Elephas maximus indicus: one gene and its partners. The protein of the gene in region 4 purifies or fractionates together with the protein of the main gene of each other region. This does not show direct contact. Links are inferred from orthologs where the notes say so. Each region holds a gene or a part of one and is shown on either strand. Other genes may lie near its edges. The genes, in order: AKAP9, CDK5RAP2, PRKAR2B and PRKACB.

Region 1 (7,846 bases), on a different chromosome or scaffold from region 4:
GGAAGCACCAAAATAAGATGGAAGGAATACACAGAGTCACTGTACCAAAAAGAATTGATCGACATACAACTATTGGTCAACCTTTCAGGAGGTAGCATATGATCGAAAACCGATGGTACTAAAAGCAGCAGCCCAAGCTGCACTGAAACCATTGGCAAAAAACAAGGATCAAGGAATTGATGGAATACCAACAGACGGATGCAATGCTGGAAGCACTCTCTTGTCTATGCCAGGATATTTGGAAGTCAGCTACCTCGCCAACCGATTGGAAGAGATCCATATTTGTGCCCATTCCAAAGACAGGTGATCCAACAGAAACATTTGCAGCTGTACATCAACAAGGACCTGCTAGAAATTCTAGCCCAATTCAGAAGAGGACCCAGAACAAGGGATATCATTGCTGATGTCAGATGAATCTTGGCTGAAAACAGGGAATACCAGAAAGATGTTTACTTGTGTTTTATTGACTATGCAAAGACATACAACTGTGTTGATCATAACAAATTATGGATAACATTGTGAAGAATGAGAATTCCAGAATACTTAATTGTGCTCATGCAGAACCTGTACATAGACCAAGAGGCATTTGTTGGGGATACTGCATGGTTTAAAATCAGGAAAGGTGTATGTCAGGGCTCTGTCCTTATACCACATTTATTCGATCTGTATGCTGAGCAAATAATACGAGACACTAGACTATATGAAGAAGATCATGGCATCAGGATGGGAGGAAGACTTATCAACAACCTGCGATATCCAGATGACACAACCTTGCCTACTGAAAGCAAAGAGGACTTGAAGCAATTACTGATGAAGATCAAAGAATATAGCCTTCGGTATGGATTACACATCAACATAAAGAAAACAAAAATCCTCACAACTGAACCAGTAAGCAAAACCACGATAAATGGAGAAAAGATTGAAGTTGTTAAGGATTTCATTTTGCTTGGATCCACAATCAACACCCACGGAAGCAGCAGTCAGGACATCAAAGTACAAATTGCATTGGGCAAATCTGCTGCAAAAGACCTCTTTAAAGTGTTGAAAAGCAAAGAATGTCAAGGTGAGGCCTAAGGTGTGCCTGACCCAAGCCATGATATTTTCAATTGCCTCATATGCATGAGAAAGTTGTACAATGAATAAGGAAGACCCAAGAAGAATTGATGCCTTTGAATTATGGTGTTGGTGAAGAATATTGAATATATCATGGAGTTCCAAAAGAATGAACAAATCTGTCTTGGAAGAAATATAGCCAGAGTGCTCCTTGGAAGGAGGATGATGAGACTTAGTCTCACGTACTTTGGACATGTTATCAGGAAGGATCAGTCCCTGGCGAAGGATATCATGCTTGGTAAAGTAGAGGGTCAGTGAAAAAGAGGAAGACCCTCAATGAGATGGATTGACACAGTGGCTGCAACAGGCTGAAGCATAACAAGCATCAGGCAGTGTTTTGTTCTGTTGTACATAGAGTGGCTATGAGTCAGAACCAACTGGACAGCACCTAACAAGAACAACAACAATCTTTACGGAAGCCGACTGCCCCATCTTTCTCTCACAGAGCGCCTGGCAGGTTTGAACCACCAACCCTTTCAGTTAGCAGCACAGCGATTTATTCACTATGCCTCCAGGGCTCCAGGAACTCAAGGCGATTTCCTTAAAAAAGGGTTGTAAGCATAGTGGGTACTTAAAGTTTCACAGACTCTTGGCTGAAACAGAAGAGACACTTAAGGATTAATTACTTGATATTTCTTTTCATATTTAAACTAAATGTATTTTTACTGTAAACACTATATGGACCCTTGATACAACTCTTTTGGGGGCTCACTTAGTTTACATTCCATGACTGTTTGGCAATATGAAAATCCTTCAAGGTGATGTCAGTATATATTTTATTACTCAGTAATCCAGTGCAGTGTCTTGAATTACAGGTTTATAATTCCTTATCATGATAATAGTAACATCTTAGATTTTTTTAACAGTTCATTAGATTATAAGCCACTTCAAATGTGTACTAGTTTCCTAAGTCATGAATTACATTTTCAAAAAATGTTATTGTGGCAAAATACGTATAACAAGTTTGTCATTTTAACCATTTGTAAGTGGACAATTCAGTGACATTACATTCAATATGTTGTGCTACCTTCACCACTTGCCGTTTCCAAAATTTTTTCAGCACACTAAAGAGAAACTTGTAAACCCTGGTGGCGTAGTGGTTAAGAGCTATGGGTGCTAACCAAAAGGTCAGCAGTTCAAATCCACCAGGTAGTCCTTGGAAATCCTATGGGGCATTTCTACTCTGTCCTATAGGGTCACTATGAATTGGAATTGACTAGACGGCAATGGGTTCGTGTTTTTTTTTTTTTTTTTTTTTGGTTTTAAAGAGAAACTCAGTACCTCTTCAGCAATAACTGACTCCTATTCCCTCCAGAACAGGCAAATTTCTATGCATTTGCCTATTCTGGATTTTTCATATAAGTGGGATCAGAGAATAATTTGTCCTTTTGTGTCTGACTTATTTCACTCAGTATAATGTTTTCAAGGTTCATCCATGTCAGAACTTCATTTCTCTTTATGACTGAATAATATTCCATGGCATGTAGGTATATATCACATATTGTTTAATGGACACTTGGGTTGTTCCTACCTATGCATTATTTTTTGAAATCTTAACACCAACAAATTTGTCATAAGTGTTATTTAACACATTCTGTTTTTGTATGCATATTTTTATTCTAGTACTCATTTTGTTTGGAAAGCAGTTTAGTAAAATGGAGTAAGACTTGAGTCAGGAAGTCTGGATCTTAATCCAGCCAGGACTTTTGCTACCCAACCATGGGAAGTCAAGCAAGTCATTTTAAATGATTAAAATGACCATTCAGGCCTTCATAAAATATGGAAGAAAAATCACTATGCTCCCTCCTATTTTCTTTATTTATATACCATTGGTGCCCTGGTGGTGCAGTCATTAAAGAGCTAGGCTCCTTACCAAAAGTTTGGCAGTTCAAATCCACCAGCTGTTCCTTGGAAACCCTATGGGGCAGTCCTACTCTGTCCTGTAGGGTCACTATAAGTCAAAATTTATTCAGCAGCAACAGGTTGGATTTTACATACCATTCACCTATATTGTTGTTCTTAGGTGTCATCAAGTTGGTTTTGATTCATAGTGACTCCAGATGACAGAGTAGAACTGCCCCATAGGGTTTCCTAATCTGTAATTTTTTTTCTTTTTACTGGAGGATCCCTGGTGGTGCAATGGTTAAGTGCTCAGCTGTTAACTGAAGGGTTCTTGGTTTGAACCTTGGAACCGCTCCTTGGGAGAAAGAAGTGACGATCTGCAGTGGTAAAGATTGCAGCCTTGGAAAACCTATGGGGCATTTCTACATGGTTCTATGTTGTTGTTGTTGTTAGGTGCTGTTGAGATGGTTCCGACTCATAGTGACTCTATGTACCACAGAGGAAAACACTGCCCAATCCTGTGCCATGCTCACAATCCTTATGCTTGAGCCCATTGTTGCAGCCACTGTGTCAACCCATTTCACTGAGGGTGTTCCTCCTTACCACTGACCTTGTACTTTACCAACCATTGTGTCCTTCTCCAGGGACTGATCCCTCCTGATAACATGTTCAAAGTACGTAAGATGCAGTCTCGCCATCCTTCCTTCTAAGGAGCATTCTGGTTGTACTTCTTCCAAGACAGATATGTTCATTCTTTTGGCAGTCCATGGTATATTCTGTATTCTTCGCCAACAACATAATTCAAAGGTGTCAGTTCTTCGGCCATCTTTATTCATTGTCCAGCTTTCACATGTGTATGATGCGATTGAAAATACCATGGCTTGGGTCAGGCACACCTTAGTCTTCAAGGTGACATCTTTGCTCTTCAAAACTTTAAAGAGGTCCTTTGCAGCAGATCTGCCCAATGCAATGTGTCTTTTGATTACTTGACTGCTGCTTCCATGGCTGTTGATTGTGGATCCAAGTAAAATGAAATCCTTGACAACTTCAATCTTCTCTCCATTTATCATGACGTTGCTTGTTGGTCCAATTTTTGTTTTCTTTATGTTAAGGATTTTTGTTTTCTTTATGTTGAGGTGCAATCCATACTGAAGGCTGTGGTCTTCGCTCTTCACCATCAAGTGCTTCAAGTCCTCTTCACTTTCAGCGAGTAAGATTGTGTTATCTGCATATTGGAGGTTGTTAATGAATTTTCCACTAATCCTGATCCCCTGTTCTTCTACATACAGTCCAGTTTCTTGTATTATTTACTCAGCATACAGATTGAATAGGTACAGTGAAAGGATACAACCGCCAGGGCTATCACCACTTTTCCTCCGGGGATTTTCAGCGTTTATCAGTTTCACCCTGGTGGCACAGTGGTTGAGTGCTAGGGCTGCTAACAAAAAGATCAGTTGTTCTAATTCACCAGGCGCTCCTTGGAAACTCTATGGGGTGCAGTCCTATTCTGTCCTGTAGGGTCTCTATGAGTCGGAATGGACTTGACGGCAACGGGTTTTAAAAGCGACCACTGAGTCCGTAGGACGGCGAATGGGGGCCGGGCTGGGTACCCTCTGTCAGACCTCGTCCTCACCCCACCCACCCCCAACCCCGCCGCAACCTGGGAGCCGTTCATCCCTGGTGAGGACCAGGAAGGTCTAGGGTCGGGAGGGCGCCGTCTCCCGCCCGCCCCTCGCCGGTAGGTGGCGGGGGTTGCCGGCCGGGGTCGCTCCCAGGGCGGCGCGCGGCTCAGGGCCGCGGGCGCACCTGCCTGGTGCGGCGAGGCTCGCGGCGGCTGCGCGGACTGACGTGCCCCCCCTCCCGCCCGGCCGCGTGTTTACGTGGAGACGAAGATGGCGGCGGTGGTGACGGCGCTGCCCGTGCGGTCGAGGACTACCCACCAGTGAGCGCGGAGACTTGTTCGACTCGGGGCGGGGAGCGCTGGGCCCGGCCCTGCTCCTTGGGCCCCGGAGCTGGCCGGGACCTCCGTCTGAATCGACCTTTCCTTTCTACCCTCGATCCCTTTCCCGTCTTCCCCCACCCTTCTCCGCAGAGGCCATGGAGGACGACGAGAGACAGAAGAAGCTGGAGGCCGGCAAAGCGAAGGTAGGAAAGCCGGGCGCAGCCGGGCCCGCGGTGGGAGGCGGCGCCTGGAAAGGGGTGGTGGAGGGGAGCCTGGGAAGCGGAGATCGCAGCAGCCCCAGTGCGCTCGCTGCCTGGGAGGAAGGTGCTGCAGGGTCTTTATTTCCCCCCGCCACCCTCTCCCCTTTTTCCACAGGAGAAAAAAGCCCTGTGCTACCATCTAGCAAATTAAAAAAAATGCTTCCGTAATGATTGGATCGTGTGGCTCTTTCTCGTGAATGCGCAAATGAAACGCCTCTTTTACTATATTGCTATTAGCTAGTATGTATTGCCTCTAAATCTCCAGCTTTTCACTCTTTTAGGTTGTTTTCTGGGTGGTGCAGGCATTGTGCTTTTCTGGGTGGGGATTTGGGGCTTTATTCGGTGGGGGATTTGTGCGCTGATCATCAGCTTGGCTTCTTTAGGTGGCACGCTGGCACTCTTGGGTGTGTGTGATTGGCCTGTGACAGCTGCCACAGCAGTGGCTTGAGGGTGCCACAAGTGCCAGCTGTGAACTTCGCTTTAGGGGCGTTTTTAGAAGCGTGCTTTATATGTTTGCGTTTGGAGGTCTTTGTCATGGCATGCGCTTTTGTATTGTGTGGAATGTTAATGCAGTCTGTGAATGGAAAGATTCCATATCCTCAGCAATAGCTATAGAATTCCTGCTTTAAATACTGTTTTAACGGTTTGTTGTGTTTGTCTGGGTGAGTCGCGATTGTGTGTGTGTGTATGCATGTATGAAAAAGCCTGTAAAGAACACAGTATAAAACTATAAATATATCACTCATTGGGCATCATGAAAAAATTGACATAGACAAAATAGAAATTAAATAGCATTTTTCTTTAAAAAATTACATGTTTGAGCATATCATTTGTCCTCAAAGGTCCTCTTCTCCCTACAATGGAGCTACCTTTTATAGATTGTTTTAACTGTCTTATTGGAGGTAATTGTTAGCAATCATGATTGAACCACAGTTAAATTATAACATAGTTGGCTGTTTTTTGTTTCTTCCTTCTCTTCTCCAAATAGACAAACAAAGGAAACCTGGTCAATGGTTTTGGTAATCAATGAAGAACCAATACTGCAGAAATGCATTAGTTAGATGCTCAGCCAAATTTGTTAATGAATAAGTATGTGAGCTAACTTCCTATCACTACAATATAGTTCACTTTTTCACATGTTCACTCTAAGGTCAAGGCTTAAGGAGCTATGGTGGCACAGTGGTTCGGCTGCCAACGGAAAGGTCCCTGTTCCAATGCACAGGCCCCTCTGCAGGAGAAAGATGTGGCAGTCAGTCAGCTTCTGTGAAGAGTTACAGCTTGGTGAAGCTACTTGCAGAGATCACTTTTCAGCCAAATAATAGACAGGCCTGTAAAATAAACAGTTAACACCTGTGAGGAATGTGCTCCTTAGAACAACCAACTATATGAGACTAAAAAGAGCAGCATTTGCCCAAAAGCAAAGAAGGGGAGGCGGGAAGGGGCAGGGAAGCCCAACGCATGGAAACAGGAATCCAGGGTGGAAATGGGGAGAGTACTGACACATTGTGGGCATTGCAACCAAAGTCACAGAACAATTAATGTGTGGATTATTGAGTGGGAAACTAGTTTACTATGTAGACTTTCACCTAAAGCACAATAAATTTATTTATTTTTTTTTTTAATTTAGAGCTTAGAAACCCTATGGGGCAGTTCTACTCTGTCCTGTGGCATTGGGTTTGGTTTTTTGGTTAAGGTCAAGGTTTAAGTGCTTATAGGTATATGAGTAGATTATTATTTTAGAATCTATAAATGGAGGGAAAGAGGAATCAGGTCATCTCCAGAAGCCCAAAGTTGATTATATTTGTAAGCAACCTGAGGATCTGAGCAAGCTCTATGCACCCAAGGAAGTGGGACTTAAGTGCGTGCCCCCTTCCAAAAGCGTTGAAGTTCTATTTAGACTTAATTATTGAATCTTGTCTTTTACCTCAGAATTTTTACTGTCTGCCCCCAGAATTATCTTTTCTAATATATGTGAAGCAGTCCTATACAACATAGTTTACTTTGGACAAAAACATCTCAAAATAGAGGACTTATAGTATGGTTGATTTGGCAAAATAGAATTCTAGTTTCTGTGTATACGTGTGTTGTCTTTCAAAATTCTATCTATTGGAGTAAAAATCTTTATATTTCAACTTTAGTTTTTACTGTACAAGGTTATCTTTTTGAGTTGAGCCCAATATTTCTGTTGAGAAGTAGATCTGTGAAACTTGTCAGGCAAGGTATGTTTGCAACATGAGCTTTACAATATAAAAACACTGGAAGCAACCTTCAAAGACAACATTAGGAGATTTTCTAAGTTATTTATAAATGCAGTGGGATAGCTTGTAGCTTTAAAATATTATGAAGACTGGAACATGGAAAATAGAGTGAAAACAGCATTATCAAAAATAGTGTATACATTAGTATTTTAATTATATAATAATGTGTGCTTGCAGATTAGGACCAAAAGACTCTTTTATAAAGGAAAAGCAAATCAGCAAATGTTGAAGTCCTGTCTTATACCAAGGGATGGAAATAGAGAGGTGGCGACACGGTCCCTGCTCTCAAGAGACTTACAGTTTAGCGGGAGAGACAGACCTTGTGTAATAAGTACAATGACAGAAAAGGTGCATTAGGATTTTGGGTTATTTTTTTCATTTGTGAGAATGTGTTAAATGCCGCTACCTCATCTTTAAGAATATTTTACAAA
Region 2 (6,827 bases), on a different chromosome or scaffold from region 4:
TCAGTGTCCTCAACTGCAAAAGGGGGATTACACTGTCACCTCAAAGGAGCATTGTTTATTCGGTGATTCAACAAGGAGTTACTGAACCCCTATTACATGTATTAAAAAAAAAAAAACCAGTGCCGTCGAGTCGATTCCAACTCATAGCAACCGTATAGGACAGAGTAGAACTGCCCCATAGAGTTTCCAAGGAGTGCCTGGCGGATTCGAACTGCCAACCCTTTGGTTTGCAGCTGTAGCACTTAACCACTACACCGCCATGGTTTATATAAAATGCAGTCCCTATTCTCAAACAGGTCACAGGATAATATAGGAGACGGGCCATTTAACAGTCGATAACTGTGCTGCCCAGTACAGGAGCCACCAGCAATATGTGGCCAATGAGCACTTGAGAAGTGGTTAGTCCAAACTGCAAAGTACTATAAGGGTAAAATACACACTGGATTTCAAAGACTTAGTAAGACAGAATGTAACATCTCATTAATAATTTTTTCTACTGATTTCAAGTTAGAATGATAATATATGTACATGTTGGGTTAAATAAAATATATTAAAATTAATGTTACTTGTTTCTTTTTTAATGTGGCCACCAGAAAACTTTAAGTTACATATATAGCTCACATATGTTTCCAGTGCATAGTGCTGGTCAGTAAAATTCCGTGAAGTAAATAAGGCCTGGGATAGGGTAAATTATGGGTGGGACTGCCTAAAAGAGTAGAAGGCCCAGGTGGGGATGGGGAAATGTCAATGAAGTCTTCCTGGCAACGACATCTAAACTGAGACCTGAAAAAAAACAGGCATTGATAAGGCAAAAGGAAGAAGGAAGGACAATCCAGGCAGCAGGATCAGCAAGCACACAGGCCTAGCAGCAAGAAAGGAAAAGGCAAGATCATTCGTAACCAAGAGTTTGGCAGTGTGGGGAGAAGTCAGGGTAGGGAGAGTAAGGGTAGAGGAGGCTAGAGAGGAAGACAGGGCCAGATTATGAAACCCTTGGAAGCTGTATTAAAAAACTATACCCTCAGGGCAGAGAGTAGTCAGTGGGGGTCTGAAGCAGGGAAGTAAGAGATTAGTAAGAGACCCAGGAGTGTTTCGGGCAACGGCAAGGAGAGAAGGGAGGCGAGGACATTTGCTGATCTGGGTCGCACACTGGGCTAGGCCCCTTCATACTCATTTTAATCGTTATACCAACCCTGGGATTTATACCAGCCCATCTTACAGATGATGAAAACTGAGGCTCACAGAGTGCAAATGCCCTGCCCAAGGTCCCAGGGCTGTTAAGTGGCAGAGCTAGGATTGAAATCCAGACTACTTTGGGTCCCAAAGCCAAAGTACTTGACCAGCAGCACCGTCTTGAGAAGAGTTGTCTGAGAGAGTGATAATGGACTTTACCTTAAGGGCAATGAGAAGGACTAACAAGCATAAAGCAGCAGACTGTCAAAAGCAGATTTACATTTTTAAGAGTTTTTAGGCTATAATATAAAGGACTATTGGAGGTGTGAAGGAGGCCTCAACAATCCAGGTGACAGGCAATACCCCAATATGTTGGGGTAGTTACAGTAAGATAGAGAATAAAAAACTACCAAAAGGATGAAATCAGGTTGCAGCTGCAAAGGGCCTTGCTCTGTGCCTGATATACAGTAGGCTCTCAACAAACAGCATAACCACTTTTCCAGGTTTGCCCAAGATAGGACCTGTTCACGCCTGCTGTCCCAGCATAAATATCAACAGTGCCCTTAGAAGCATCCTGGTTTGCACAATAAATTACATGGTCACCTTTCAATTAAGACCTGCTAACTAAAAGCAGCAGCCTGTTCCTTGCAGAGCTGAAGAAACACTGAAGGTTCTTACTCAGGTTCTCGTCCATTTCCTTCTACCCATTCTCCAATCAGGAGCCTGAGACCTGATGCAGTTCAGAGCTGTCAGGCCTTCCTACCAGAAGGTGAGACCCATGGCTCCAGCAACAAACAACGTGGACTCCAAAAGCCTCTTGGGCCAGGTCCATTGGGAGGCCAGTCTTGGCCATTATTCCCCAAGTTGTGTTATTATTAACGATAATAACGGCACCACACGATCACTTTTTAAGCACTAATTATGTGCCAGGCACTAGACTTGTCAAGCAAACTGCAGGGCAGGCATCATCTCTTTTAATCCTCACAGCAATCCTGTTAGGTGGATATTACTACTATCCCCATTTTACAGATGGGAAAGCAGATTACTGGCACTTTACCAAGGTTACACCGCTAGTCAGTTTGGATTTGCGCTGGATTTGAATCCAAATCTGCCCAACTCCAGTTCAGTCTCTCAACCACTGCACTCCACTGCCTCAATCTTGGGTGGCCACTATAACGCCCTATGCACAAAGACTGGACGTATCGATTACACTCCCCATAATGAAAGCAAACCCCCACACCAGAATGAACCATCAAGTCCCTTCAAGGTCCCTGCTGAGGGCGCCACATCCCCCAACCAGCCCCTACTAACGGCCCCCTCCTCCTGCTCTTTCAGAAAACCCCTTACTGGTGCCTCACAGCCTCCTCAAATTAAGACTCTGAAATACTAGAGGTAGCTGTGGTCGGGACCCTCACACACAGTATCAGCTGGTGGGCCCCTCACAGAGATACCCTAAGGAACCCAAACAACACACGGCTTCTATCCGGAGATGCTCAAACACCCCAAGAGCAAACCCCCAAGGCCGGGTTAGAGCAAACCCCCATCAGTTGGAAAACCAGCCCAGTTACCGCGAACCACCAGCGCCCGGGCCGCACCTGCAGCCGCTGAGAGTCCCGGGGAGAGTGACGTCCTCCTCCAACGCCGAGTCCATCACGGACACAGAGACGGTGGTGGCGTTGATGTCTCTAGTGGCGGCTTCACTGGTCCCCCCTCGTTGTCGCGCGACCCGCCCGAGTCCCCGAGGTCCCCGCCCTCTCCGACCCAGCTCTTGTTCGGATTCTGGCGGCGCCGCGGAATTCAAACCGCAGCCGCCGCCATCATTCCCGGCTCTTCTTCCTACGGAAACGAGGCGGAGTCACCAGGGCGTGCACAGTGAAGCCAGCCGTCCGGAGCCAGAAGCCGGGCAGAGACGCGCAAGCAGGCGCCATCTTAACTAAGGGCAGAGCCCCCCCCCCCGTTTGGGCGAGTAAGGCTAGGCAGAGAGAGGCCAGCTGCCATTTTTTATGAGGGCAATCAGATCTATGCCAGCGCAGGCGCCATCTTTATTTAGGGCTCGAAGCTGCCCCTGATCCGTTAATTTAAGCGGGATATGCGAATACAGGGCCCTACTAACCCACAGGGTTCTGGACCTGGTACCCGAAGCTTGAGGTGTGTGCATCCAAACGGCTTCTGCCTTGAGTTGAAACTCAAATAATCGGGTACTGCCTCGTGTTAGAAAATCCTACATGTGGAATTCCAACTCAAACAGTAATTTGCAAGCTTAGTTTGAAGCAAATAAACTCATCCCTGTGAGCCAAATGGTTAGCTACACTCGCACTCCAATCCTTTACCTAGCGATCATTTGTTGCCTTTAGGGCTCAGACATGTCTAAGATCGGTTGACTGAGGCCCAGAGAGAGGAAATGACTTACCCAAAGTCATACACAGTAAGTTTGTCAGTTGGAACCAGATCCTCAGCTCCTACCAACTAAATCAGGGCTCTCCATAATCCCTTGCTGCCTCTCCTAAAGTACATAATAACCACTAAACACCTAGGTAATTTCGGTAATGGTTGTCCAGCGAAATTCCCGTCTCAGTGCTGCTACCTTCTTCTGCAGGCTGTTAAAAGAGTCCTGGATGAAAACCATTTGGAAAGATAGGTGCGTGGATGGACGGTGACTTTTCCTGCAACCATGAACAAGTCCCCTCTTGGCCCCAGTTTCCTCATTCTTGCATTTAAGTGTGACTTTCTAAAAGAGGCCTTCCCTGATCCTGTAATCAAAATCAGGTCCCTCTCTTGGATGTTCTTAGAAACCCATATTCTTCCTTTGTAGCACTTGCTATGTGTGTTTTTAATGTCTTCCTCTTCCACTAAACTGGAAGCTGCATGAGGGCAGGAACTGTATTCTGAATTGTTCACTGCTATATCCCCATCACCTAGTATTGTGCCTGCCACCTAGTAGGGGTTTTTAAATATATGTTAAGTGGATGAAGAGTCAATAAATATGGAAAATGGGACTAACACCTATCCTTCAAGATTTTCATATGACCTGAGTATCTTTTGGAGGTCAGTCAGTGGTAATCCCACATTCATTCATTTTCTCTGTTTTCTCTCTCCTCTCTTCTCCCTCCTCTCCTTCCTCCTGCCTCCCTCTCTGTCTCTTGTTGAGGACAACAAGGCCCACAGTTCTGCACCTGATCTTTCCCAGGCCTTCAACCATGATCAGCAATAAGAAAACAAAAAACGGTTGGGCAGGAACTAGATGGCACAGCACTTATGCCCTGCCCCAGAGAAGGGGCATTCCTTGAAGCCCTGGAACTGACACTCCTTTCCAGTGTTAATTTCAATGGATGAAATGAGTATTCCAAAAGCAGGGAAGCTGGGGTGTCAGGGTTCCTATCCTGGCTCTGCTATGGACTCTCTGTGATCTTTGGCAGACCACTTCTCTTGTGGCCTCAGTTTCCAACATCTTTAAAATGAGAAGGTTGGACTGGATGGGCCTCTCAGGACCTCACAGCTCTAGAGGTTATTTTTCTGTGTTTATTTCAGAGCTATTAACACAAAGCCTGTTGGTGCCATGTTTAAGAGCTGGGCTGCTAACCGAAAGATCGGTAGTTTGAATTCACCAGGCGCTCCTTGGAAACCCTATGGGGCAGTTCTACTCTGTCCTATAGGGTCACTATGAGTTGGAGTCTACTCCACAGCAATGGGTTTTGTTTTTTTTAACACAAGACTAGGGGCCAGTGGTGGTTCCGTGGTAGAATTCTCACCTTCCATATGGGAGACCCAGGTTCCATTCCCAGCCAGTACAGTACAGCTCGTGTGGAGCCACCACTTCTCTGTCAGTGGAGGTTTTGTGTATTGCTATGATGCTAAACAGGTTTTAGTGGAACATCCAGGCTAAGATGGACTAGAAAGAAAGGCCTGGAGATCTACTTTTAAAATGAACCAGTGAATCACCAGTGAAATTGCAATATAATTTTTTTTTTTAATAAATAAAATGTTTTTAAAAAATAGACAACAGATAAGTAGTAACTTTGGTGAAGGGTAAGATAGTACACAATACTGGGGAAGCCAGCACAACCTGTCCAAGGCAAGGTCTTGGAAGCTCCATAGACACACCCAAACTCCCTGAGGGACCGAATTGCTGGGCCAAGCACTGTGGGGACCATGGCCTGAGGGAACATCTAGCTCAACTGGCATAACATAGTTTATAAAGAAAATGTTCTACATTCTACTTTTTAAAAGCCTTTGAGTGGCCATACTCCACTGATCTCACCCCTTCGGGAGCAGGGAAGAATGAAGAAAACTAAAAACACAAGGGAAAGATTAGTCCAAAGGACTAATGGGTCACATCTAACACAGCCTCCACCAGACTGAGTCCAGTACAACTAGATGGTGCCCAGCTATCACCACTGACTGCTCTGCCAGGGATCACAATAGAGAGTCCTGGACAGAGCTGGAGAAAAATGTAGAACAAAATTCTAACTCAAAAAGAAAGACCAGACTTGCTGGCCTGACAGACTGGAGAAACCCTGAGAGTATGGTCCCCGCACACCCTTTCAGCTCAGGAATGAGGTCACTCCTGAGGTTCACCCTTCATCCAAAGATTGAACAGGCTCCTGGAACAAAACAAGACTAAAAGGGCGTGCCAGCACTGGAGCATGGACTGGAAGGCAGGAGAGAACAGGAAAGCTGGTAATAAGGAACCCAGGGTTGAGAAGGGAGAGTGTTGACATGTCGTGGGGTTGTTAACCAATGTCATACAACAAGGTAGTGTTTGATGAGAAACTAGTTTGTTCTGTAAACCTTCATCTAAAGTACAACAAAAAAAAAGGAAAAGAAATAAAGTAAATAAAATATTTTTTAAAAACCTATGGATCACCACTAAAACCACAATGAAATATTATTTAAAAAAATAAATAAGGTAAATAAAATTTTAAAAAAACACCCTATGGATCACAATGCTTTCTTTGATCTGCAGTCAATCATGAGAATGGCACAGGACCAGGCAGTGTTTTATTCCTTTGTGCACAGAGTCATCGTGAGGTAGGGGCCTACTTGGCAGCAGCTATATGAACCAACTCTATTCTGATGAGAGAGGCTGAGAATAATAATCATCAGTTCCCAAATGAAGGAACTAGCTTTTCACTTAGCAGATGAAAGCTTTTGAGAAAGGAAATAAGGAAGAGAACTCACGCATTTTGAGCATCTATGTGTCACTTACGCCAGACATACCACATGTACCACCTCATTTAACCTCACAACAAAGCTCCAGAGTAGGTACTACTATTCTCCCCACTGTACCTACAGATGAGAAGACTGGGGCTCAAAGAGGTAAAAATAACTTGCTCCTGTAACAAAATGAGGGTTCTTGTCCTGTCCTATTAGCCAAACGAAATAAGACAGATGCCACACCACCAGTTGCAAGGGAAACTGAAGGTGGAGATTTATTGTCTGCACAGACAAGGAGCAATGCAGGGTCTATTGATCATAAGGCCACGTGTTCACTGTCTGAGGGGGTTGGGGAGTTTTCTATTTCCAATGGAGTCTGGGGGTTGGGGTTGGTGCCTGGAACTCTCTGCCCTTAGCCCTCCCACATCCCTATTTGGAGGTGGGGATGTTGAATCACATCAGTGATGTTCAGGTGCAAGGACAGATTGAGGACACAGCTCTTC
Region 3 (7,195 bases), on a different chromosome or scaffold from region 4:
GATTGCCCTTTTCTGAATCAAACTTCCCTGCCATGCATACTAAAATTTAAGAAATATTAATCCAGCAGGTCTTGTTCTATGTCACAGTAAAGTAAGACTTGTCTTCCAGTAATTGTTCTTTACTATGATAGAAGAATATCCAAAATATTAGTATTTTGGCACATTTCTGGATATAGATATCAAAAAGATAGGATCAGATTTCCTAGGCTCAGTCTTATTATTCTTTCCCCAGTGGCACTGTTCTTTTTCCTCTGACCAGGGGTGGACAAACAATGGCTTTGGTCTGCAGCCAGTTTTATACAACCCCAAACCCAGAGGTAAAAAAGTTTTTACAAGTTTTAAAGGGATGTAAAAAGAAATAAACAAGACTCTTCGACCAAGATCATATATGGCTCAAAATACTACCTGGCCCTTTATAAAAAGTTTATCTACCCTTTGGAGCCTATAATTGTTTTTTAAACAGCGAGTGTAAACACAAGTGACTTTTTTTCTTTTTAGTAAGAGAAAATTAATAAAAACAGAAGATATCAGAAAGCACTGTACCTACTAGAGAGATATATTGTTACCAAAGATTCAGTTATACATATATATACACACGTGTGAACTGAATCATGACCAAATTATATGGGGTGCACTCAAAAGTTTTAAAATCTGCCGGGAGTAGGGTTGGGGAATAAATAGTACGATGGGTCGACAAATAAATAAACTCACATTAAGAAATTTTTACACTAAAAGTGTCTTGGAGAAGAAACATAAAATGATCCCTGCTATTTAAAAGTTAACAGCTTGTTTCTTTTTCTGCAAAATGGAAATAAAATCTGTTCTGCACACAATATACATTGTTATAAGGGATAAAACAGAATCATCAATTCAAAGCACTTGAAAAGCATTACACAATGTATTATTAGCTATATTAACAATACAATATATCCAACATATCTAGGTTCTTTACCAAGTCCCTTAATTCCTAGATTCCTCCAACCTGGGGAGCCAGCTCTTTTTTTCTGTGTGTGGTGTGCACTGACACATCAAGAGCATAAAAGAAGTACAGTATAACATGCCTCTGCCCTTTCCATATCATGCATTATTGGCTTCTCTTGCCCATCTATTTAAAATGTATACTCTTTTATCCTCTTGTTTTTAGTAAGAAATGCATTTGATAAATTCTTGTGCAAAAAAAAAAAAAGTTATGACTATGATTACTCTATCCTGGGAAACACTAAAAAAAATATCCTGGGAAACACTAGGAGCCCCAAATTAAAAATGTTCAGTAACAATCTTCCCTTTTATCTTCACAAAGCACTAATTTCCAGGATTTGTGTAACCACTTTAAAATATATATATATATATATATATATTCTTTTTTTAACCACTTTGGACAACTTAAAATTACATTAATTTTAAAACCCATTACAAGATGTAATTCTGTGAAGAAAAGAAACACTTTCATAGTCGCATATACAAGGAAACGAAATGACGCCTTAAAACGTTTTCATTATATGGAACGCGCTGCAGACACACAAACCACAAGCAGTGTAAATAAGTAAAAGCTGGTGCAACGCTGCCTGTATGTTTGCCTTACACCACAAAGAGAACACACTTGCACATTTACACACCATAGTATTTTAGTCTGAGATGCCATAAAGATGGGATTTAGTCGTGCTGTGTAAATACAGGGGTGTGTGTGTGTGTGTGTGTGTGTGTGTTGACGAAACAGGGTTGTAAGCATAAGGGGAGGGACTTGCCAGGAGCAGCTACTTGAAAAAAATTATTATTTCTTTCCCATTCATTCTTTGGAGTCTGGCACAGTCCAATTACTCACTCGCTTTTCGTTCTAAAGACAACCAACAAGCTTTCAGAACTTCCTACAGTGTTTTGCACACACACTTAAAAAAAAAAAAAAAGGCACCAAATCATTCAATATGTGTTTTAAATAAAAAGCAGATCATTACCCCGTTTTCCAAAGGCCCCATGGGTTGCAGGCTAAGTAGGATCCTTTCTTCTGAGTACAGAAATAACACAGCACAGTATTGGTAAATTGGAAAATAATAGATTACTTTGTTTCCAAGAATGTCAAAGCTATTACCATAAATTTCGTTCTGCCCCAGCGAGTTCCAATTTCATGCTCCTTTTGGTGAATTTACCGTCATAACAACAATAAAGCCAATCAAATGTAACAGCCCTCGCCTTTTCTCTTTGGACACTCCATTAAATACAAGCGCAGAAAAGAACGCCAAGGGGGCCAACTTCCTTTATGCACAATGCTATCCGTCAAGAGCAGTATGTTAAACCACAGCGAAAGTTGTCTTCCTATCAGATGCCCACTCCAAACCGGGCCACCTCTGCCTCGGTGCCCAGAACGAGAGAGGGCAGATGGGCGGGGAGAACAGTAACCTTTTAGCTCCCCCAGCTCCCCAGGAGAAGAAGGAGGGAGGGCAAGACGCGGGTAGGAAGGTGGGCGAGTGGGAGACAGAAATGGATGCTGAGGGGGTGGGCGTGATGGGAAGGAAGGAAAGGTAGAGAATGCGGAGAGGGATGGGGAAGGCAAGCTCCAAGATTAAAGCGCAAAGCGGGGTATGGCAATCGGGGGCGAGGGGGTCCAGGAGGCACGGGGATGGGGTCCGGACCTCACCGTTGAACGCCCCTGAATCCGCGGCCTCCTCCTCCTCCCCGTTTTCGGAGTCGGTGTGCACGGACTGCTCGGCGAAGTTGACTCCCTTGCTGGGGGTGCCGCCCCCGGTGGCGGCGCCCACGTCCCCCCAGATCCTGCCCTCATGGCCGAAGCGAGCGGCGCCTTTGCGCTCGTTCTCCTGCTGCAGGCGCGTGAAGTGCTGCAGGGCGAACTCCAGCAGGTCCGCCGGCTGGTGCCTCAGCACCTCCACCGTGAAGCCCTGCAGCAGCTCCGTCAGCCCCGCTGGGATCTCGATGCTCATCCTGCCTCCGGGGCGGCGGGAGTCCCCGGGGTGCCCTGCGCGGGCGGCCGCCGCCCTCGCGCCTTCCCGAGTCCGGCCTCGGCCGCGCTGCCGCCGAGCGAGCGCGGAGGGCGCCGGCAGCGCTGTCAGCGGCGAGCGCGGCGCACTGGGGCCCGGCCGCCCGGCTAGCGCGGCCCGCGGCTCCCGGCGAGCGGCTGCTCCGTGCGGCAGCTGCAGCGGCGGCGGCGGCGGCGGCGGCGGCGGCTGAGCGAGCGCGGCCCGGGTAGGGCTGGGAGCATCTCCACTCCTCCCGCTCCCGCCGCCGCCTCAGCTCCCCCAGCCGGGCCGCCCCGCCCCCGCCCCGCCGCGGCGCGCCCACGTGACCCCGGAAACCATGGCAACGCAGTCGACGGGCGCCGCGCTCCTGCCACTCGGACTGCCGCCGGGCGGAGGACGTTGGCGGGCGCTGGTGGGCCCGGAGGCGCGCTGCCGGCACGTGCACCGGCCTAGAGGCCGCCGGTCGGCGCCGCTGCCGGGGCTCCCGCGAGGGAGGCCTCGCTGTCCCCCCGCCCCCGTCCCCAAACCCAGAGCGGACAGTCCACGCGCCCGAATTCCCACACGGCATCCACCATCGCGAACCGCGCAGAGCTGCTGCCACGCGAGTTGCCCTGAAACCTCAGCCTCCACCTCGGTAGTGGCGCTTTGTTTTCCTCCTAGAATCTAGTTGTGTTGATAAGTGTTGGTAATATCTTTTGTTTACGTTCATAGAGTGGTGTTGGTTCTCTTTCAGACAAAGAAATAATACATCATCCTTGTGACATCATTCTAATTTTTCCTTTCACCTCATTTTATCCAGCTTTTCCCCATCCCTCCCGTTTACTTTGTTTTTTGCTTCACTGATACTATTCCATTGTGTTCTCGAAGCACTTACTACTGTACACCGAGACAACTGCATCATTTATCGTGAGACTTACCAAAGCTAGGGATGCCCTGCAAACAGGATAGTACAGCAACTTGAATAAAATGTCATAATCAGGACAGGTGGTCATTAGGCAAAAAAAAAAAAAAAGCTTTGCCTGATTAGCCTCTTCTGTTTATTAAAAAACTTTCCTTTACAGTTTGAGTGATTTTGAATTATATTAAATAATTGAATTATATCTCCAAAAATAGGAATACTTAAGTACAAAGAGAAATAGTATTAAAATGTGTGCTTTTAAAGTAGAAGTGCTTGATTTTGATATGAGGCTTATTCTGCAAGCGTTTACAATTTTGAATTAGAGAAAATTGTCTTTTGCTATTTAAATACACATACTTCATTTCTACATTGGCCACCATATCACTGTAAAAAAAAATAATTCAAGTGCAACCTCACTCAGTCGTTTTGGTTTATGTTTCCACCCATCCAAAAGGGTAAATACATAACTCAGAAAACTCAAAGACTGAAAAGCAAGGTGCAACAAAGTAGTCCCTTTAAAAAAATGCATCTTGATATTAACCTTCCTTTCTTTATAATCCAAATTGTATTCACTCTCAGTGAATATTTCTATATTTCCATTTCTTATCAATCTGATAATAATAATGTTATGTTGGTTTTTAAATATACTAAAGTGCTTCTAATTGTGTCAAATATTTTTAAAAATAAGCTTTTATAGAATACCATGACCCTCACATGTCATTGTTTGGAAAACAGTATTAAATTCTTTTCCATGTAAGCAGTATTTTATTTACAGATCCAGTTATCTAAGATGAATATGCATCATTAGTTTTCATTTATGATGATGGTTGTATTAAGATTAGCATTGTCTGCATGTGGCAGAAAATGCAAAATACAGCGGCTTAAGCAAAACAGAGGAAATCCTGGTGGCGTAGTGGTTAAGTGCTATGGCTGCTAACCAAGAGGTCGGCAGTTCGAATCCGCCAGGCGTTCCTCAGAAACTCTATGAGGCAGTTCTACTCTGTCCTATAGGGTCGCTATGAGTCGGAATCGACTCGACGGCACTGGGTTAAACAAACCAGAAATTTATTTCTCTGTAATGTAAATGTAGGCAGTCCAGAGGTTGTATGGTGACTCCATGATCTTCAAGGACCCAGGCTCCTTTGTTTTGTAAACCTCATTTGTGTCTTGTACCTCGTGGTCCAAAATGGCCACCTACCTCCGTTCTTCTCATGTATGTTTCAGCCAAGTGGAAAGTGGAAAAAGGAAAGGGAACTCCCCCTCTACCGCGCACAGTTAAGGGACACTTTTGGGAAGTTAAGCACACCAATCCTTCATATCCTGTTAGCCAGAATTTAGTCACGTGGCCGCACCTATGGTGTGGTAGATTGCATTTTCCGAAGATGGCTACATTATCTCCTATATCATCTGCTCTTCTATATCTGCTCTTGTTCCCCCGCATCAAGAGTTGAAGTCTAATTCCCCTCCCCTTGAAGCTAGATGGGCCTCTGACTGCTTTGACCAATAGCACGTGATTGAATTCACGCTAGCATGACAGAAGGAGCAAGCCATATGGTGTACTGTCTGAAGTCCTGACCCACAGAACCCATGAGCATAACAAAAGAGTTGTTTTAAGCCTCCACGTTTTGGAGGTAATTTGTTACACGGCAAAAGTAACTAAAACACATGGCTATACAGGAAGTTTGGGAATGTAATCTTTATTTTGAGCAGTCAGTTGCCCAGCAAACATTTGAGAGTTAAAGAAAACCAATTTGGGGAACAATTATCCATCTCTGCTCAATATTTAACACCTTCCCCCCTTCCCCCCTCCCCCGCCCAGGAATGACAGAAGAAAAAACCACTACTTTTCCAAACAGTTACAAGAACCAGATGTCAAAGTTGTAGGCTACGTTTTGTGTTTCAAACGGCTTTTATTCCTTTTTGTAGATTTAGTGTATGATAACTAGTAAATGGCTGTCTGCCATCAACTACAGTGTCAGGGTGGTGTGACTGTTATTTCTTTAGGACTATGTAAGTGACTTAATCATGAAATTCATAATTGGATTATATGGCCTATATAGGAGCCCTGGTTAAGAGTTCACTGACAACCAAAAAGTTGGCATTTCGAATCCACCATCCACTCCTTGGAAACCTGTATGGTCTCTCCAGGAGCCCTGGTGGTACAGTGGTTAAGCACTCAGCTGCTAACTGAAAGGTCAGGTATTCGAACCCACCAGCCTTTCCTTGGAAGAAAAGACCTGGCAACCTGCTTCTGTGAAGATATCAGACTAGGAAATCCTGTGGGACAGTTCTTCTCAGTCCTATAGGGTCTCTATAAATCGGAATCAGCTTGATGGCCCATAACAGTAACAACAATGGTCTCTCCCAGCCTAGGAGAGCCTGTAATATTTAAAAGGCGTATTGAATTTAAAATATCTTTGTAAACAGCTGTCTGATAACAATTTTTATTCGCATAAATTCTTAGATCCACAACTATGACCTGAAGAAGTAAATGTTGATCCTGATATTCTGATTATGTTAATACTGTTCTCAGAACATTCACTTCTCAAATCATATTTTGACTTTTATTCACTCACACGTAACCTTTCTGTATAAGATTTCCTTTGCTTTCGTTTTCAGCATATTTCCTTTTGAACCTTGGAGTGCAATGACAGTGGTTTATGGGACTATTCATCTTGAATTCTTTAAAAGAACATCACTGGTATTGATTCTTTGGTTGTTGATTTACAAAGCAATTTGTGCTAGTTTCTCAGAGAAGCAGACTGGAAGCAATTGCAAAAGAACTGCAAGAGCTAAGAATGAAATAAGAGTACTACAAAATTTGTTTCCACTCATGGGAAATTAAACAGATATTAGAGACATCAGCTTGTTTATATGAAGCTGCCAAAACAAGACCACAGCGTGGGCAACCCAATGGTTTGGGCAAGCTTTACAATGGACAGTAATAACTCTAACTAGTCAATTATGCAGCATTTCATATCAACAGTTAAGATGTATCTTAAGTACAAAAATATATATATATATGCACTTGAGCAGGGGTAGGCAATTGAAAGGATACACAGGGCTGTGCTTGCACAGAGACCACTGTGGCAGTCAATCTCAGTTTCATATACCTTTAGGAATTCAGCACTGACTAGCACTTTGGTGTCTCTAATTCAAATTCTCAAGAGAGAGAAGCCAGTTGGTCTTCACCATCCAATGGATTGGCTGACTTTGAATGAGGGGTCCTCTCCTGAGAGGTCAGTGTGGTCAGTGGGATGCCAGATTAGAAGTGGCCAGGTAGTATAAAAATTTGACAGTCTGCCTCTTCAACAAGAAGAAGAGTCCC
Region 4 (7,973 bases):
GCAAACTTCACCCACATTTGGTGCCACCTTTTCCATCACCATAAACAAAAAATGACTATTACCTAGGGGATACTTTTCTAGTTACCCCCACTCCCACCCCTCATAACCACTAATGAACATTGTTGTGTGCCCTTGGTTAGCAGTGAGTGCTTAACATTGTACCACTAGAGCCCCTTCAGTGAACATTGTTGTTGTATGCCATCGAGTTGATTCTGACTCATAGTAACTCTATTTATTAGTCTCTCTCTCTCTCTCACACTCTCTCTCTCACTCTCTCTCTCTCTCTATATATATATTCTTTTACCGAAAACCCTGGTGGCTTAGTGGTTAAGTACTATGGCTGCTAACCAAAGGATCGGCAGTTCAAATATGCCAGGCGCTCCTTGGAAATTCTGATGAGTCAGAATCGACTCACTGGCACTGGATTTGGTTTTCTGGTTTTTATATATTTACCTATTCTTGTTATTTCATAAAAATGAGAACATAAAATATTCGTGCTTTTGAATTGACTTATTTTGCTCAACGTCATGCCCTCCAGTTTCATCCACATTGTGGGATGTTTTGGGAACTCATTTTTCTTTATCTGTGAATAGTATTCCATCGTATGTATGTAACACATTTTGCTTGCTATTCATCCATTGATGGGCATTTAGGGTGTTTCCATCTTTTTGCTGTTGTCCATAGTGCTGCAATGAACATAGGTGTGCATATGTCTGTTCGTGTCACTTGTATTAGACCTCTAGGAGTGGAGTTGCTGGATCATATGATAGATCTATTTTTAGTTTTTTAGGAACCACCAGATTATTTTCCACAACCACTGTACCATTTTGCCTTCCCACCAGCAATAGATGAGGGTTTCAGTTTCATCACATCCTTGCCAGTGTTTGTTATTTTCCTTTTTTGTTGTTGTTGTTGTTTATCTTAGCAATCCTAGTGGGAGTGAAATGGTATCTCATTGTGATTTTGATTTGCATTTCTCTGATGGCTTGTGACCTTGAGCATCTTTTCATGTGTTTGTTGGCCATTCGAATACCTTCTGTAGTGAAGTGTCAGTTCATGACTTCTGCCCATTTTTTTGTATTATTTGTCTTTTTGTTAAGTTTTAGAAGTTTTACATATATTTTAGATATTAGATCCTTATGGGTTATATTGTTCCTGGAGGTGTTTTACCCAGTCTATAGGTTGTCCTTTTACTCTTTTGATAAAGTCTTTTGATGAACGTAAGTATTTAACTTTTATGAGGTCCCAGTTACCTATTTTGTTTTCTGCTGCATGTGCATTCCTTGTGTTTGATAATCTATCATTGCAAAAATTTAGGTCCATAGCTTTGCTTCTGTGTTTTTTTCCAAGAACTTTATGGTTTTAGATTTAACGTTTAGGTCCTTGATCCATTTTTAATTAGTTTTTGTACATGACATTAGGTATGGATATCGCTTCATTTTTCTGCATGTGAAATCCGGTTTCCCCAGGACCATTTGTTAATAAGACTGTAGCTTCCTCATTGAAAAGATTGGCTTCTTTGTCAAAAATCAATTGACCATAGATGTTTGGATTTATTTCTGGGTTTTCAATTCAATTCCATTGGTCTGTGTGTCGATGATTAAACCGGTACTAGGGTGTTCTGATTATTGTAGCTGTTTAATATGTTTTGAAGTCGGGGCTATCTGAATGAAAAAAAATTCCATAGCAGATTCTTAGACCCTGGGCAATATATTCGAAGACTGATTTCTCCCCATTCACTCTCCCACCTTTGTTTGAAAATTTCTGCATTTAAAATTTTTTTATTTCTTTTTTTTGGTAATCAGTATTGGGCAGTACAAAGAGTCCTGATTCCAGGAATTTTGAAGGCCTAGGTGACTTTGGGCAAGCCACTTAATGTTTGTAAGATTTTTTTTCTCAACTTAAAATAAGAGTAATATTACCTGTCCTGCTTACTTCATTGGTAAGGATCTCATGAGCTGTGGAAACCACTATGGGTTGTAAAGTGTTTTTGGCAAATGTAAGGGATCATTACTATTATTAAATATAATATACCATATTTTGTGATATCTGTTGGCAATCAAAGCAGGTTTATCTCTGAAAATTGCCATAATTTCTGTAATTAATACAGTATGAATAATAAGGAATGTATACTTATGATTACTCTCCAGTGGTAAAAATGATACATTGTTTAATTACAGTCTCTTAGTAGATAAGCTATAATATTACAGCAAATTTTGGGTGCGTAGTTAGACATTTTAATACAAATTAAGATTCCGAAAATACCATCAGGAAGAATAGCAAGCATACTCAAGGTTAATGTGAATTTTGAAGGGATTCATAGTTTTAGTTAAAACTGTAGTTGTTTCTTTCTAGCAGTAGATGCCAGTAGAGTTCTTTTTTTTTTTTTTTCAATAAATAAAATTCAAACTGCCTAAGGACTTCCACAGCAACAGCTTCCTGGTCACATTACCATATATAGAAACATTACTCTAAGGACTAAATATTCTACTTTCTATAAGGACTTTTTAACAAATGGAAACAGCCTTTTTGAAAAAGATGTACAGATTTCAGATGTAGTTTAGAGATACTCATCTAATGCTTTTTTTTTTTTTCTATTGCAATTACTTTTGTTGTAAAATTTATATGTTATTTTAAATAATCTTAGTACTAGTTAGGAATCTGGAATTTCTTATACTTAACTCAAGCAATTTTGAATATAAGCCTGACTAGACATTTTGTGTTAAAAATGAATAAGACGGTGCTGAAATACTAGGATTAGTTTGTGCATTTGGCAAGGGAATAACATGAGCGTAATATTTTGGAGAGATTAATACGGCAGAGGGATGAATGATTGAAGGGGGTGACTGTAAGCTTAGAAATCCACAATTTGCCCTAGTAAAAATAAATGAAAATGGAACTCAGAATGAATACAAAGTAGTAACTCATTGAATATTGAGTAAAAGGAGAAGTTTGATGATACTACTTTTATTACTGTAGTCTTTATATATGAGAAATTTATTGCTTTCTGGATTATTTACAAATAAAATCCTATCATAAATAAAATTAAAGCATTTTCAATGCTTGATTACTTAGACCATGTTTTAAGTTGTTGAAAATGAACTTATACTTCATTCAGTATATATTTTATTGAACATCTAAATATATTTATTGAGTACTTAATGCATGCATTGCTTTTATGAATTCAAGTAACTCAAAATTTAGGAAGGCATAAATTCATAAATAGCAAATTTTAACATAAATGACAAGATCAGTGGAAAGAGCGGAGAGAGTGATTTATTTTCTCTTGGAAGCATATGGAAGACTTCACTGAAGAGGTGATATTTGCGGTGAGCCTTGAGGATGAATAGAATTTCCGTCAGGAGAAATTCCTGAATTCAAAAGAATTCAGCAATTTTATCTGCTTCTGCCCACACGGAGTCAGCCTGTGCTCTGTAGATGTTTATTAAAGTCTACAGACACTTATTCAGTATCTGTTTTGTGTAAGACACTGTCAGACACGAATAAGCAAATTATGTATTACTGTTCCGAAACGCTGGTGGCCTAGTGGTTAAGTGCTTGACTGCAAACAAAAAAGTCAGCAGTTCAAATCCACCAGGCACTTCTCCGAAACACTGTAGGGCAGTTCTACTGTGTCCTATAGGGTCATTATGAGCCTGGATTGACTGGATAGCAATGGGCTTGGTTTTGGTATACACATACATAATATTCATATAGAGCTACAAATTTAAAAAGTTTAGTCTTACAGATATTGCTGCCTATTTTTTAGAGTGATACTAATTTTACCTAAAAAAGTGTACACAAATGAGCTGTTGCTTTGCAAAGTCACTAGTGATTGCTTCCTTTGTGCGTGTGCGTGCGTGTGGGGAGGGTTGTAATTGGATTACATTATTTTTCCTATTCTATTTGTTATTATTGTCCCTATTTATTGTATTTCTCAAAACAGTTGGCAGGAAATCTGGACTAAGATAGTTTCTAGATTTTTTAAAGATATTTTTCTTTCTTTCTCTCTTTTCTGTAGTCCTTATTACAGCTTCCAAAGACAAAAGCACATACATTTCTCATCCTTTAATTTGTTAGTCTCAGAAGACAGGTGCTCAAAATCATTGTTAAATGCCACAGGTACGTGCCTTTTGTTTTCCTACAAGGGGACAATGGCAAATTTTATTTACTTTTAATAGGAGGAGATGTCTCTAAATGAGACCACTAAATGAGGGATCAGGTAAGCAGCAGTCCTCAGTGTTAAGTTTTTAAAATAAATAGGTCTCAGGCCACTCTCAGTCAGCCAGAAGGAACTGTTTTCTCCTGCTTGAAATCTCTTGCTATGACTGATTTTAAATCTTAAATATTTTCTTTTTCCAAATTTTACAATGTTTTTAAAATATAAAAACTCGTCAGCAGATTATAAATTTGATGAACAATACTGACATCCTCACTTTCTGTAGTTCCTGTATACATTACGCTTAAGTGAATGAGTTAGCAACATTCAGTTCTTTTTTTTTAAGTGCTAGTTCAGGTTTTTCCTTAGTTACGACATATATGTCATAAATTTGTTTTGTGAGAGTTTTATCATATCCATTCCATACCAGTTTTGTTGTAAAGTTAACTGTTGACAAGGATGCCTGAAATCTGTATGTTAGCTGATTTCCTGGAAAAAATAAAACCTTTCTTTTGAACATGGTATATTTGAAATGTGGCTTGGGCCTCTGTTGTTAGCATAGGGTTGTAATATATGTTTAACTATTTTTCTTTTTTTCAGCCTACTGTGTATATATATATATTTTACTGTATATATAAGTCCTTATACTTACTGCTCTCATTAACATGGGTTAACATTAAAACACTGTTAATTTAAAGCATTGTTTTGTTTTATACATTTAGGCAGATATTGCAGGGTTTTTTTTTTTAAATCACCATCTCTAGTTAGATATAAAGACTTGTGCTAAGAAAAGCTTAGAAATGTGCTGTTTTATATTAACAGGAAACACAACAGCAGTAGTAATTTGAATACCCTGCAAACAGGAAGTTTGACACATGCATAGCTTTCAGCTTCAGTGTAAGAAGTTGTTGAGCTCCTTCTGGAAATATTTTTAGTTGCTTTAAGTAAAGCGTAAATGCACGTGAATGGCAGCTTATAGAGAACTACCTTGTAACCAGCATACAGGTACAACTACTGCTCTTCAGAAATTGGAAGGTTTTGCTAGCCGATTATTTCATAGACACTCTAAAGGTGCTGCACATGATCAGAAAACAGCTTTGGAAAATGACAGCCTTCATTTCTCTGAACATACTGCCTTATGGGACAGATCAAGTAAGTTTTGTTTTATTTTTAAGTGATACATTCTAATTAGCAGCTAAAACAGTAATTGGAGATTTAAAATCAACCATATAAAGACCATGTTTAGTTTGTCTTTTAATAGTTTCATAGGACATTCTGCAAGATAAAGTTGAAGGAATAAGTTTCAACTTTACTGTAAGTTTAGCTGAATCATGTAGTTATATGACTAAGTTGATTATCAGTTGAAAAATTTTCTTCAAAATTCTGACATCATTTCTAGAGTACATTACCGTTTTTGGTTTTAGTTTTATTTTTGGTCTTGTGTAAAATGAAATGCTTAAATTTTAGAAACGATAGTTTACTTTTTAAAAGTATCTCTGATTCATAAGCCTTAAACTTCAAAAGAGACAAGAAGACTCTTGAATTTTTAAATTTCTATTGTGCTTGATATCTTTTATTTTTAAATGCTCACATGAAAGTTATTTCAGTTTAACAAGCAGGGTTTTCTAAAGTAAAAGCGTAGTATGATTATTCTATGTGAAATCTCACATAACATTATGAATATCTAAAGCTTCCATCATGGTATTTTATGTAATTTATACTTACGGCTAAAGGGAAAAAATGAGTTGTTTACACATGCATCACATTTTTCTAGGCATGTTAAAAATGTTTGGAATTACTGCACTGCTGACACAATGATATGAAACCATTTTTGGTGACATACATGTTAAAAGATAAATTTCACATATAACAATACCAGTGCCTCCATTCTGCATTTCACCTTGTACCCTCCCCAAGGTATTTTTGTCACTCTGACTAAAGGAACAATAGAATCACCCTTGGTACTCTTGCCCTTTTTATTGTGTTTGTTTGGTCATCAAATAGCACTAGGTTTTGCCTCTTTCATTTATATATTCCTCAGCAGTTAAGGAAGATAACTCACTTAAAAAAAAAAAAAAAAGAAAGAAAAACAGTTTCAAAATTTGCTTCTTGGTTTATATAACACATTCATAGTGCTGTGAAAGCTATCCAAATTATTTTTTACTACATTGGGGTTTTTTTTTTTTTTCCTTACCTTCTTCAAACTGTCTAAGTGAGAAAATGAATAAGAACATATATTTGCACAAAAATTGTTTTCACTCCAAACAGTCTGGTCGTTATTTATAGTTAGTTCTTACTATATACCAAATTGACAAATGAAGAATTTCAATATTTCCAAGTTTATGAACTATTAAATATTGAGTTAACAGTACATTATCAAAATTTATCATGTAACACAAGTTTGTTGTTCACTCTGTTTCCCCTATTCTGTTAAACTGCCGTCCCTAAGCCCTTTTGGAAATCATTTTTATGCATTTCAAAGATCTTTTAATCTAAAGTTAAATGAGAGATGAGGATAGTATTGAGTTAATTTGTTTTACTAATACTGTTCCTCCATGATAGGCATTTAATAAGTGTATCTTAAAAGAGACTGTCTTGGGGTTTTAATAATTAATAGTTATGTTTGAACGACACTCTCACCATTTTTTAAATGTGTGAGGCCTGTGATGTTTTCTGAATACACATTTTAAAGTCTAGCAATGGAAGATGGTATCATGAATCATGATTTCTTTTGGAAAAAACATACATATTGATAAAACGCTGTTAACATTTTTTTCTTACTCTAAAGTCACAAAGTAACATAAATAGGATCATTGCGCCCAAGTAAAATCGGGGGCGAACCTTGTAACCCTGCAAATAATAAGCATAAACCAAAAAAAAAAAAAAAAATCCATTGTCCCAAGTCGATTCCTACGCGTAATAATAGACACAGTGTAGGAAATACTTCGAGTAACTCAGTGTTCATTAACCAAGTATTCTTCCACTTTCTGCCTCCTCTCATATCCCAAAAGATCATTAATACCCATTGCCGTCAAGTCGATTCCAACTCATAGCAACCCTATAGGACAGAGTAGAACTGCTGCATAGTTTCCAAGGAGCACCTAGTGCATCCAAAGTGCCAGCCTTTTAGTTAGCAGCCATAGCACTTAACCACTACGCCACCAGGGTTTCCAAAGATCTTATTAGACACAGTAATTTTATATATGTAAGGAATGAGCACAGTATGCATGGAGCGCTAGTTTCCTATTATGGACTGTGTTGATAGAGAAGAAAACACTGATAGAGTAGAAACAGAAGAATCCTATTATTTCACAATTCTAAGGTTTATTTTTGTGGTTCAGAACACAAATTTTTCTAAGATTTATTTTTATGGTCAGAACACAAATTTTTATTCATTTTTACAGTCAGATGTGGAAAGAGTTTTGACTGTATGAAGTTTGCATACAAACCACATTTTTCAAAGGTACTTAAAGCAATTTACTGGCATGACTTGTTTGACAAGAAGAAGGAATGTAATATCTCCTGATGATAAACACTCTGAATATGTTTGTTCTAAAAGTGCTATTTTAAGAAATCCACTAAGCACAGAAGCTGCATGTAAACCTTTTTTAAAAAAATTAGTTTTATGAACTATTGAGTAAGGATTTATTACCATTTTAGGCAGATGTGAAACAGTAACAAGCATTAGTCCAAGGTTCTTTCTTTTTCAAGGAAAATGTAGATAGGAAGAGATACAGAAAAAAGGCCAAACACATAGTGGTTTTTAGCTGCCTTTAATGTGTTTCATCATTTACTACTAAATTAAGTAACAGGA

Evidence for each region.
Region 1: the proteins of PRKACB (region 4) and AKAP9 purify together in Homo sapiens (affinity purification with mass spectrometry; 5 studies listed by BioGRID and IntAct, counting the BioPlex papers as one, with this or other methods). This does not show direct contact. The link is inferred for Elephas maximus indicus from reciprocal best matches to the Homo sapiens genes PRKACB and AKAP9.
Region 2: the proteins of PRKACB (region 4) and CDK5RAP2 purify together in Homo sapiens (affinity purification with mass spectrometry; 4 studies listed by BioGRID and IntAct, counting the BioPlex papers as one, with this or other methods). This does not show direct contact. The link is inferred for Elephas maximus indicus from reciprocal best matches to the Homo sapiens genes PRKACB and CDK5RAP2.
Region 3: the proteins of PRKACB (region 4) and PRKAR2B purify together in Homo sapiens (affinity purification with mass spectrometry; 7 studies listed by BioGRID and IntAct, counting the BioPlex papers as one, with this or other methods). This does not show direct contact. The link is inferred for Elephas maximus indicus from reciprocal best matches to the Homo sapiens genes PRKACB and PRKAR2B.

What each region holds. Positions count from the first base shown.
Region 1 is NC_064826.1:61,953,980-61,961,825, forward strand, and holds the start of AKAP9 (A-kinase anchor protein 9), read left to right. Parts: upstream 1-4,836; 5' UTR 4,837-5,052; coding exon 5,053-5,100; intron 5,101-7,846. UniProt on the Homo sapiens protein: Scaffolding protein that assembles several protein kinases and phosphatases on the centrosome and Golgi apparatus. Required to maintain the integrity of the Golgi apparatus. Required for microtubule nucleation at the cis-side of the Golgi apparatus.
Region 2 is NC_064827.1:70,482,781-70,489,607, forward strand, and holds the start of CDK5RAP2 (CDK5 regulatory subunit-associated protein 2), read right to left. Parts: upstream 3,012-6,827; 5' UTR 2,822-3,011; coding exon 2,766-2,821; intron 2,466-2,765; exon of another isoform or gene 1-2,465. UniProt on the Homo sapiens protein: Potential regulator of CDK5 activity via its interaction with CDK5R1. Negative regulator of centriole disengagement (licensing) which maintains centriole engagement and cohesion. Involved in regulation of mitotic spindle orientation.
Region 3 is NC_064826.1:42,606,869-42,614,063, forward strand, and holds the start of PRKAR2B (cAMP-dependent protein kinase type II-beta regulatory subunit), read right to left. Parts: upstream 3,019-7,195; 5' UTR 2,934-3,018; coding exon 2,633-2,933; intron 1-2,632. Other genes in the region: rab11 family-interacting protein 3-like, read left to right, coding at 3,307-3,603. UniProt on the Homo sapiens protein: Regulatory subunit of the cAMP-dependent protein kinases involved in cAMP signaling in cells. Type II regulatory chains mediate membrane association by binding to anchoring proteins, including the MAP2 kinase.
Region 4 is NC_064821.1:133,355,826-133,363,798, forward strand, and holds the start of PRKACB (cAMP-dependent protein kinase catalytic subunit beta), read left to right. Parts: upstream 1-4,971; 5' UTR 4,972-5,124; coding exon 5,125-5,311; intron 5,312-7,973. UniProt on the Homo sapiens protein: Mediates cAMP-dependent signaling triggered by receptor binding to GPCRs.